Kluyveromyces lactis: one gene and its partner. The protein of the gene in region 2 purifies or fractionates together with the protein of the main gene of each other region. This does not show direct contact. Links are inferred from orthologs where the notes say so. Each region holds a gene or a part of one and is shown on either strand. Other genes may lie near its edges.

Region 1 (4,779 bases), on a different chromosome or scaffold from region 2:
CTCTCGGGGTTCATGTGCGTGAAGGTTAGGAAATTTCTCGAATAAGCAAGAAAATGATATAAAGTTCAAGTAATATAAAGGATACATACATAAAAGAAGTTGGGAAAACACACACAACCTTTGTAGGACGGCTTTCTGTTCCAAGAAAATGGTACTCCTATCTACTCACACTCTGACAAAGTACAGCAAACAGGAATTGTAAAATGTTTGCTGCCATCGCCTCCGGGAACCCCTTACAATTATCCACTGAAGTACCTAATTCTAATGGTTTGCAGCATACAATAGTATTATCATCAACAAAGCCAAAATCATACTCACATATCACTTTGTTTATACTACCAAACGTAACATTCCCTCAGGAATTCCTTGCGACAGTGTATTTTAAACTAAATCCAGCGGAGGACTTCAAATTATTTGGATACTTGGGTAATGAGAAACCGAGTGCAATTTTTAAGGTAAAACTTCCACAGGCCAATGTTGGGAATGGTGTGACAGCTAACCCTTCAGATGGATTAGGTGAAATTGATATGGAAGACGATGTAATGACAGATGACCTCAATGGTGCCAACGCAAATCACAATATTTCGCAGTTAATCATAGGAATTTCCATTGAACCAAGAAATGATGCCACTGCCAAGCTTGAGCAGTGGAAAGCGGAGCAAGCTGCATTGAGTTCGAGCGCTGGTGCCGGTGCAATGGTACTATCTAAGAATTCTGTACAAATCCTAACTGCAGGAGCTCTTGCGAAACAATATCCTGTGGTAACACAAGAATTGGCTGCGAAGATCGTTCAGCATGCTTATAATTATTTAACTGGATTTGTCGATGCTCAAGGGAACGTCTCCATCAAAAGGTTTGATACATGGTGGGAAAAGTTCAGAGTAAGGTTGCAAAACGATGCAACTTTCTTGGATGAGGTTACAAAGGACTGAGACTACCGTTATTTAAATAAATTACATAGACTTTTCCAATTTAAATTCTATCTAATAACGTAATGCCAATTTATGTATTTCGCTGTCAATCACTCATAGCTCATCGGCTATTAAAGTGTCATCATCGTCAAAGAGTCTCTCTTTTAGTCTGGCAGCATTTGGGTTACCGAAAACTGCATGTCTGCTTTTGGCTAACTGATTATCAAATTCCAGTTGATCCACATCTCTTTTATAAATATCATCTTTCGATTTTTCATTGCGCACTTCAATCTCATCGATTAACCAATTCAAGAAATCAGAATCTATTTTGACACGGTTTTTGAAACGTGTCTTTATGAAACTGATGCAATGGAAGAAGGATCTGAGATGAAGTTCATCTAGTTCTGGTGTTTGTATTATTGTTGTTAATTCATTCACCCATTTTTGCACTGTCTTCATGTCTTGTTGCACAGTGTCAATGACTTGTTCGTTTTTCTCATTATAAAATTTGGCAATGATTTCTAATATCTTGATCTTAGAAGATGGGTCTTCAATTTGGTATAAGCGCCATAAAACGTCATCTTTTATGGACACATATTCTGTGCGGCTCAGCAACACGTCAAGTATAGATAAAAACCTCTTGATAAGTAATTTTGAGCCCTGAGAAGCTTGAAGTTCAGAAAGATGCTCGCACAATTTAAAGGTGGTCTGTGGATATTTTTCATTCACGAAATCAATACTTGGTGGATTATTCCTTAACGAACTGACGATTATCCTAGCAGCCAGCTCTCTAATTTGAATAGAAAGAGTATCGTTGAAAGAAAGATATTCTAATAATTCGAACTCATTTGACAAAATCTTGAAACCTTTTTTATAATCATGTGCAAACTCAACTAAGTCATCAAGAAGAGTCTCAACTTCTTCCCACGTCTTCTCATCTGGTGACTGCATTAAGGATTTTATTTTGGCAAAATCTTCAGAAAATTCGTGCCCCGCAGGTTCATTAGAGGTTGCTTCAGCGTTATCCGACACCGCTATCTTAAGATCAGTTTCTTGCTGTAGAATATCGCTCTCTTTTTCAGCATTGTTCAATTTGAATCCACTCTGCTCATTTTCCAAATCCTCTGAGGTTTCTTTCAATTCAGATTCAGATAAGGTCGAACCTTCTGCACCAAGTACCAAACCCTTCACATCTTCCTCCTCATTACCAATGTTCTCGGATCCTGGTTCAGGTAATTTAGCTTCCCTAACACCTTTCTCTAGGCTTACTCTAATATCAAGTCCTGGAGGTAGTCGTTGACCAGGTCTGATTTCTTTCCATTCTGTAGAGGGTACAAATCCTATGGGATAACATTCTTTTGTATTGCAGACCAAATGATCTCCAATAACTAGATCTGATTCAGCGTCTTTCTTAGCTATGTTAGCGTCATTATTAGCTTCCACTGCAGCAACTGTATTTGCTGTATCTTTTTGTTTCGGATCAGCATTTGAATTAGATGGTGTTAGGACAACTTGAGAAACAACCAGCCTAGAAAAAAGTAGCACCGTCAGCACATATATGGCTCTGTTTACACATTTGACTCTCATATCGAAACCTGATGGTCTATCTAGATAGTGTGGTTTTGTGTGAACCTATGAATCCGGTAGAGGATAATCCACTCTAACGATACTATAGCTGTTATGTGTGCGTGAAATGGCAAGACACGGTTTGTCATTTATTATTTTTAGATCTTTCACGGCATGAACAGAATATGACAGCACATCTAAACTTCAAGGTTGGAAAGAAAGAAGTGACAGATTGGTTTGGATTTTGAAGGCTACTACCTGCCGTCAGTGAGAAGTGAATGTTCTATCAAAACAGTGATTCTGGGTTATTATAGATAAAGAGTCTATCAAAGACGTGAGCTAGTATAGCCAGATAGATAAAAAAAAATTCTATATACTAATCCGTACAATAACAGAAGTGGACCTATTAAAGCAAATAGATGGGGGTTGAAAACCCTGCCATTGAAAATGCTGTCGCATATGAATTAATTAACGTGCTCTCGTTTTCTTCATTGATGTGGAAGGGTGTTTCTGGTGTTTTATCGAAAATTAATATTAGTTGGATGCGGATGCAAGAGCTTGCTTAATATCTTCCAATAGATCATCTGTATCCTCAATACCAATGGATAATCTGACCAAATCGTCGTAAACACCGGATGCTTCTCTTTGCTCCTTTGGGATACCACCGTGGGTCATGACGGCAGGAACTTCCAATAGGGATTCGATACCACCAAGAGATTCAGCCAGAGTGAATAATCTGGTAGAAGATGAGAAGGTAGAAGCAGCTTCTGCACCACCTTTGATTCTGAAGGAGATCATACCACCACCTAGAGCATCGCGGTGTTGTTTCTTAACGACTGCATAACTTTCGTGAGTTGGTAAACCTGGGTAATTAACTGCGATGACATTTTCGTTAGAGGATAAGAATTCAGCAATCTTGTGAGCGGACAAAGAAGCTTGTCTAACTCTCAAGTGCAAAGTCTTGACACCACGGTGTACCAACCAAGAATCAAATGGTGATGGAATGGCACCAATAGCGTTTTGCAAAAATTGCAACTTTTCGTAGATGACTTTGTCGTTGGTAGCTAAGACACCCAAGACGACGTCAGAGTGACCGTTAATGTATTTAGTAGCAGAGTGGACGACGATGTCAGCACCGAAGTTCAGAGGGTTAGACAAATATGGAGATAGGAAAGTGTTGTCAACAACCAGTAGGATATCCTTATTAATGGACTTAGCGGTCTTGGCTACTAATTCGATATCAGTAACTTTTAAAGTTGGGTTAGTTGGGGTTTCAATCCAAACCAATTTAGTGTTTTCCTTGATCAAAGATGGCAACTCAGCTACCAAGTTGTTGGTGAAAGTGGTTTCAACACCATGAGCATTGGCAACTTTGGTGAAGTATCTGTGAGTACCACCGTAAACATCACCAATAGAAACTGCATGAGAACCTTGTGGCAAGGATTGTAGAATCACAGCAGTGGTGGCGGAACCACTAGAGAACGCTAAACCGTATTTACCATTTTCCAAAGCAGCAATGGCATCTTCCAAATTCTTTCTATTTGGATTTTGAGATCTAGAGTATTCGTATTCACCAATTGGTTGAGCTGGAGCAGACTGCTTGAAAGTAGTAGACAAAGAAATTGGTTCAATGACAGAACCGTGAACATCCACGTGAGTACCGGCGTGAATAGCCTTTGTAGCAAACTTATCAGTTGGTAACAAACCCATTTCAAATATATCTTATTTTCACTTTCTTGTGGAACTTAGAACCAGATACAACTAAAATTCTACCTGCGATGATTAGCTATGATTAAAACTAAGAAAGGGTTTAAATAGACAGAATCAGTATAATTAATAGGTAACGTTTAATTAGAATTAAGTTTTCTTATATATATCAAATGAGTAAGAAGAACCCTCGAGCATTATAAATCAACTGTGCCTCCAGAAGTTCCAGTTCTTGCAGATGCGAGCTCAAATGCAGGAAAGAAATGAGAGAACTCAGTGGGAAAAATTCGTTTGTCATTCGAGACCCAAAACGAAGCAGCCAAAGCAGCCTTACCAAATCCGCAATTGGAATCGAATTCCCTTGGCCTTTGGATCCATTTCTGTAAGTTGCCTCCCTGTCTGTCACTAGAGCTGCCTGTGTGTCTGTACAATTGCACGTGAACATGCGATATCATCAACAAAGCGCCACATATTTTCATGGAAAAGAAATGAGCTCCAGAAGACATAGTAGAGCCACAGTTGAATAGAAATTTGTCATCTCGGCAAGAGGCGGAATAACTAGAAAAAATAAATAAATAAACATCACGTGATTGAT
Region 2 (5,512 bases):
TTTTAGCTGGATCTGCTGTCAAAACCTTTGTAGTCTTTTCTGATGTTTCTCCTGATTTTAACACTGATTGTCCCCGCCTTTTCACTTTAATTCCCCTTTTTTTTACAGACGCTGATTGTGAAAGCTTTCGAACCAAATTTTGTATATTTCTAAACCCATATACCTCACTTGACGAGGCTATTACACCTTTACTCTTAGAAACTAATCTGTACTCGGTCACATCGCTGTTCTTACCTTCAATAGTGATAATATCTGACTCAGGATTCGAGGACTGTAAGGAAAGAAGGTATTGGTACGCATATCCGCCACTGCTACTGCCTTCGTTACTTAACCAGTGAAGTTTATAATCCCATCCGCTGGGACATAACTCTTTTGATGAATCATATTCCGTCATGTAACTCTTGAAATCTATCGAAAGATCTCCGAGCATTGCTACAAATTCCTTTGGTGTTATCACACAATCTACTTCTTTTTCACATTCTTCTCTAGATGCCTCTAGTTTTTTATCAAAACATGGCATTATGCTCAAGTGGTAGCATGTTGGATCTGCTTGTTTCAATAGATTGCCTGTTATTTGCTGAGGTGATTTCACATCTAACATATGAGGTATTAATTCTGGTTTCGTTTTCTCTGCATACAACACAAAACCGGGACAAACACTACACAAAAGAGGGCCTTCATTTTCCGGAACCCTGTCTTTTAAGGTTGCGTTTATCCGGGATATTGAAATAGACCTTCCAAACTGGGTACCAACAACATATTTCGCATTGAACTTGGTTTTCATGAAATTTTGGAAACATCGATCGAGGTCTGCAAGGCACATAGAGTAATAGTCAGCCAACGAAAGTCTACATTGAGGAGATATGCTGACAGCTAGAGATCGTTCATCTAGTTCTTCCAATTCGCTCCATTTTTCTAAGAACACCTTATGGCTTTGCTTCGATAATAAAATCTCTTCTGATGAAGTAATGCAACCAGCACAGGCTAAACAGTCTTGCAAACTGATCGATACCTTCTCAGGCTCACTAGATTCAATGCCAACTTCAACTTCAAATGATGGTTTCTTCTCAACCTTTTGAGGTTGAGCTGGTTTCACACACGCCAAACCTGGGCTTATAAAATCGTTCAAATCGGCATCCCTAAGTAACGCACTCATTGTTTCTTTCTATCTTAAAGATCCTCGAAAAAGAAGCTAAGCAGTAGTAGTGTTTTCAAATAAAATAGTCCTTAGTATGCAACTTGAATCGTTTTTGGCTTTGTATTCTGAACGTTCTTATATGGGCTTCTCTTATGCTACTCTGAGTCCATCACAATGAAATCACTTACTAATAAATCCTCTGTCTCAGTTTCTCTTATAATTTCTTTTGAATTGACTAATCAATATGTCAACATCGCAAGTGTCATGAATAACATATTCTCATTCACGTGACTAAAACTTGATAAAGATACCCGCCTTTGATTTTGTTTACGGCAGAAACTGAGAACAATTATTCTCACCGCCGACATGCTTTCGGTTTGGATTTCTGCTTTAGCATTGAGGTTGAAAATTATATTATTAGATCAGTGCCAAAACTGTGATGTTTTATTATGAACTGAGACATCAGTCGAAAAAGTGGACATAAGAAAGAGATATAGTGAAAGAAATACAAATAAACCCTGCACTTGGCTTTGCTAGAGGTTAAACATAGAAGACCTGTTAACGATTAGGTACGTTTAGAAGACTTTCTTATCGAATCGGGTTGCTCTTTCATGTGTTACACGTCTTTTATACAGCATAAAAATAAAGGCCATTCCAAAAAGTTGTACAATACTAAGGGTCTAGTACAGCTAGACAAATTAGGTGCAATCTCTAAATCAGGATATCAGCTCTACGCCGGGCAAGTCATTGAATAAGATTTTCCACTTACTTATTACCTTTTTCCCTTAATATTCCTTAATTTTCAGAACGATAGTTATGATCCTATCGTCGCAGCTCATGCTAGCTTTAATAGCAGTGTCAGGATACGGTAAAGCAATGCAAGTTCCTAAAAAAGACCACGAAAATAGGCAGTATTTTGCAATTGAATCTTATGATGATGTAGGTAATCTACTAGCGGAACACAGTGACTGGAGTTTCGAGCACGATGTTCGAGGCCTTGCCAATCACTATGTGTTCTCGAAACCGTTGCAGAGTTTGGGTAAACGAGATGCGATTGACACAGGATATTCAGAAAACATCATTGATTTCCACGATCTACCCCCCGTTCAGTTACACAAAAGATTGCCTATTGGGGATTCTAGTATGGAACAAATCCAGAACGCTAGAATTCTTTTCAATATTTCTGATCCATTGTTTGATCAGCAGTGGCACTTGATCAATCCAAACTACCCTGGAAATGACGTTAACGTAACTGGTTTATGGAAAGAAAACATCACTGGCTATGGTGTAGTGGCAGCATTGGTGGATGATGGATTGGATTATGAGAACGAAGATTTAAAAGACAATTTCTGTGTTGAAGGTTCTTGGGATTTTAATGACAACAACCCATTGCCGAAGCCAAGGCTAAAAGATGATTACCATGGTACCCGCTGCGCAGGTGAAATAGCGGCTTTCCGTAATGATATTTGTGGGGTTGGTGTCGCCTATAACTCTAAGGTATCCGGTATCAGAATTTTGTCAGGCCAGATCACAGCCGAAGATGAGGCTGCTTCATTAATTTATGGACTAGACGTTAATGATATTTACTCTTGCTCGTGGGGTCCATCTGATGACGGTAAAACTATGCAAGCGCCGGATACATTAGTAAAAAAGGCAATCATAAAAGGTGTAACAGAAGGACGAGATGCAAAAGGTGCACTATATGTATTTGCGAGTGGGAATGGTGGTATGTTTGGCGACAGCTGCAACTTTGACGGCTACACAAACTCTATATTTTCTATCACTGTAGGTGCCATTGATTGGAAGGGCCTACATCCTCCATATTCTGAATCATGTTCTGCTGTAATGGTTGTTACTTATTCTTCGGGATCAGGAAATTACATAAAAACAACAGATTTAGACGAAAAATGTTCCAATACGCATGGAGGCACTTCAGCTGCAGCTCCTCTTGCAGCTGGTATATATACTTTAGTGCTGGAAGCTAACCCGAACTTAACATGGCGAGATGTACAATACCTCTCAATATTGAGCTCTGAGGAAATAAATCCGCACGATGGAAAGTGGCAGGATACAGCTATGGGAAAGCGTTATTCTCACACATATGGATTTGGAAAACTTGATGCATATAACATTGTCCATATGGCAAAAAGTTGGATCAATGTAAACCCACAAGGTTGGCTTTACCTTCCTACAATCGTTGAAAAACAGTCTATCAGTAATTCAGATGAAGTTATAGAATCCACAGTCTCAGTTTCTGCTGAAGAGTTTAAACAAAATAACCTAAAAAGGTTGGAACATGTCACTGTAACTGTCGATATAGACGCACCTTACCGTGGACATGTCTTAGTAGATCTAATATCGCCTGATGGAGTTACATCTACCTTAGCGACAGCTAGACGTTTAGATAAAAACCGCTATGGTTTTCAAAATTGGACTTTCATGTCTGTCGCGCACTGGGGCTCTAGTGGAGTTGGAAGCTGGAAATTAAAAGTAAAGTCTACGCATGATAATGAAATTGTAACACTCAAATCTTGGAGATTAAAGATGTTTGGAGAAACTATCGATGCAAAGAAGGCCAAAGTGATATCATATGGAAATGACAAAGAGGATGCTGAAGTTAAGAGTACCGAATCTAAAACCACAACTCCCACTGCACAAACTTCGTCATTCACGACGACTTCTGGAGAAGAAACATCTGGTGCAAATAAGTTGCCTCGTCCCGAACAGGCTGCCCAGTTATACTTGGCAATTTTTGTCATTGGTGCGATAGTCATCATAATTTACTATTTGTTTTTCTTAAAATCAAGAAGAATAATCAGAAGGTCTAGAGCAGAAGCTTATGAATTTGATATCATTGATACCGACTCAGAATACGATTCTTCGATTAATCAAACTGCAGAGTCTATATCTGGTGAAGTAAATGATGATAACCTTGAAGACTTTAACTTCGACATAAATGAAGAAGAGCTCTCACCCCGTGAAAGTTCAAGCAATAATCCTTTCGGGAATGAATCTCTGGAATCTTTCGACAATTCTCCTGATCATACAAGCAATTTACTAGGGCAAAACTCGATTCCCAACAAATAGAAAGACATAGCATAACCAGTTCATAAGAGATAAATCTCAAAATACTGACGTTTTCATATAGAAAGATAGGTTTTTAGCCTCGAAGTCATATCGCTTGATGTCCAATGATACAAAATGAGCTAAAATGGATGGAATTGTTGCATCATCAACATACTGTAGGCGAATCTAGGATTCATTTTCAATCATGAAATAAGAAGTAACAATTTCCGCATTCTCAAAAAAATGAATCAGAAGTGGAACATAAAAAAAAACATGTAAAACTAGCATAGTTTAAGGTGATTATAGTTAATGGGATATAAAGGATTCTGACATGTAGTTCATTAACAGGGACAGTTCCGACTCACGATTTCACTGCAACGATTAAAAGGAACTCATTCAATTGTGATTAGGGTTAAGGATCTATTATCTCAGTTATCAACTACTTCTATTTTGACGTCGTCCAAGAGTTTAGGGTGGAAGGGTGTAATGACAATGTCTCGTAACTATCTGTGTCTTTTGACCTGCATGTCTCTGGCGGCTGCAATGAATATGGATGATATAGAGGAATATACAAGACCTGAAATTAACGCAGCAGGTAGCAAAACCTTCCATTGGTTGGCATCAATGACCTTTTTGCTTCTATTACCGTCTTTTTCAACGACTTTAACATTTGGCGGTAAAGTGTATTCATCGTTATTCTTCCAATCAATAAGTTGCGCTTACTGCTTAGTAGAAGCATTATTTTTGAGGTTCCCTGATGGAGATGGTATCGAAAACAGGACATCCAGAGGTTGTTCCTGGGCATTACTGTTGTTATCCGGTCTTACTTTTCTAACCGGTGCTATATATACAGGATCGAACTTTCTGTTGTTCAATGACAGGATCAAAAGCGCCTTGTCTCATATAGCTTCAACAAAGGTCGAGATTGCCCATAGAGTGTTATCTCTGTTATGTGTGCTAGGGGGTTGGGTGAAAATCTGTCTCGCGCCTGTTGCTTTGTTTGGATTTTGTCGTGGAAAACACACCGGTCAATGTATCGCTCACGGTATTATGGGCACTGCTTTTGTTCTGTATGGATTCGTTTATGTGACAGTGCTTGTACTTCCTTGGTTGAGGAATAACAATGGGAAATACTCACAGGATTTCTATGACAGTTGCGTTATGTGTGCCTGGGGAATTGTTAACACTTTCACAGAACATAGATGGGGAAGAGAAGAATGGAACCATGGAGACTATCAACACACTGCAATGGGGATCATTTGGTGGGCTGGTGGACTTGTCGGGATATACCTCTCTCGTGACGGTAGC

The links.
Region 1: the proteins of KEX2 (region 2) and SIL1 purify together in Saccharomyces cerevisiae (affinity purification with mass spectrometry, with the first as the bait; 3 studies listed by BioGRID). This does not show direct contact. The link is inferred for Kluyveromyces lactis from reciprocal best matches to the Saccharomyces cerevisiae genes KEX2 and SIL1.

Annotation. Positions count from the first base shown.
Region 1 is NC_006042.1:741,876-746,654, reverse strand, and holds SIL1 (Sil1p), read right to left. Parts: upstream 2,499-4,779; coding exon 1,026-2,498; downstream 1-1,025. Other genes in the region: OPI10 (Opi10p), read left to right, coding at 204-932; cystathionine gamma-lyase CYS3, read right to left, coding at 3,012-4,187; KLLA0_F07887g (uncharacterized protein), read right to left, coding at 4,382-4,690. UniProt on the Saccharomyces cerevisiae protein: Required for protein translocation and folding in the endoplasmic reticulum (ER). Functions as a nucleotide exchange factor for the ER lumenal chaperone KAR2.
Region 2 is NC_006040.1:1,671,051-1,676,562, reverse strand, and holds KEX2 (kexin KEX2), read left to right. Parts: upstream 1-1,954; coding exon 1,955-4,225; downstream 4,226-5,512. Other genes in the region: iron-sulfur cluster assembly protein NAR1, read right to left, coding at 1-1,156; YTP1 (Ytp1p), read left to right, coding at 4,691-5,512.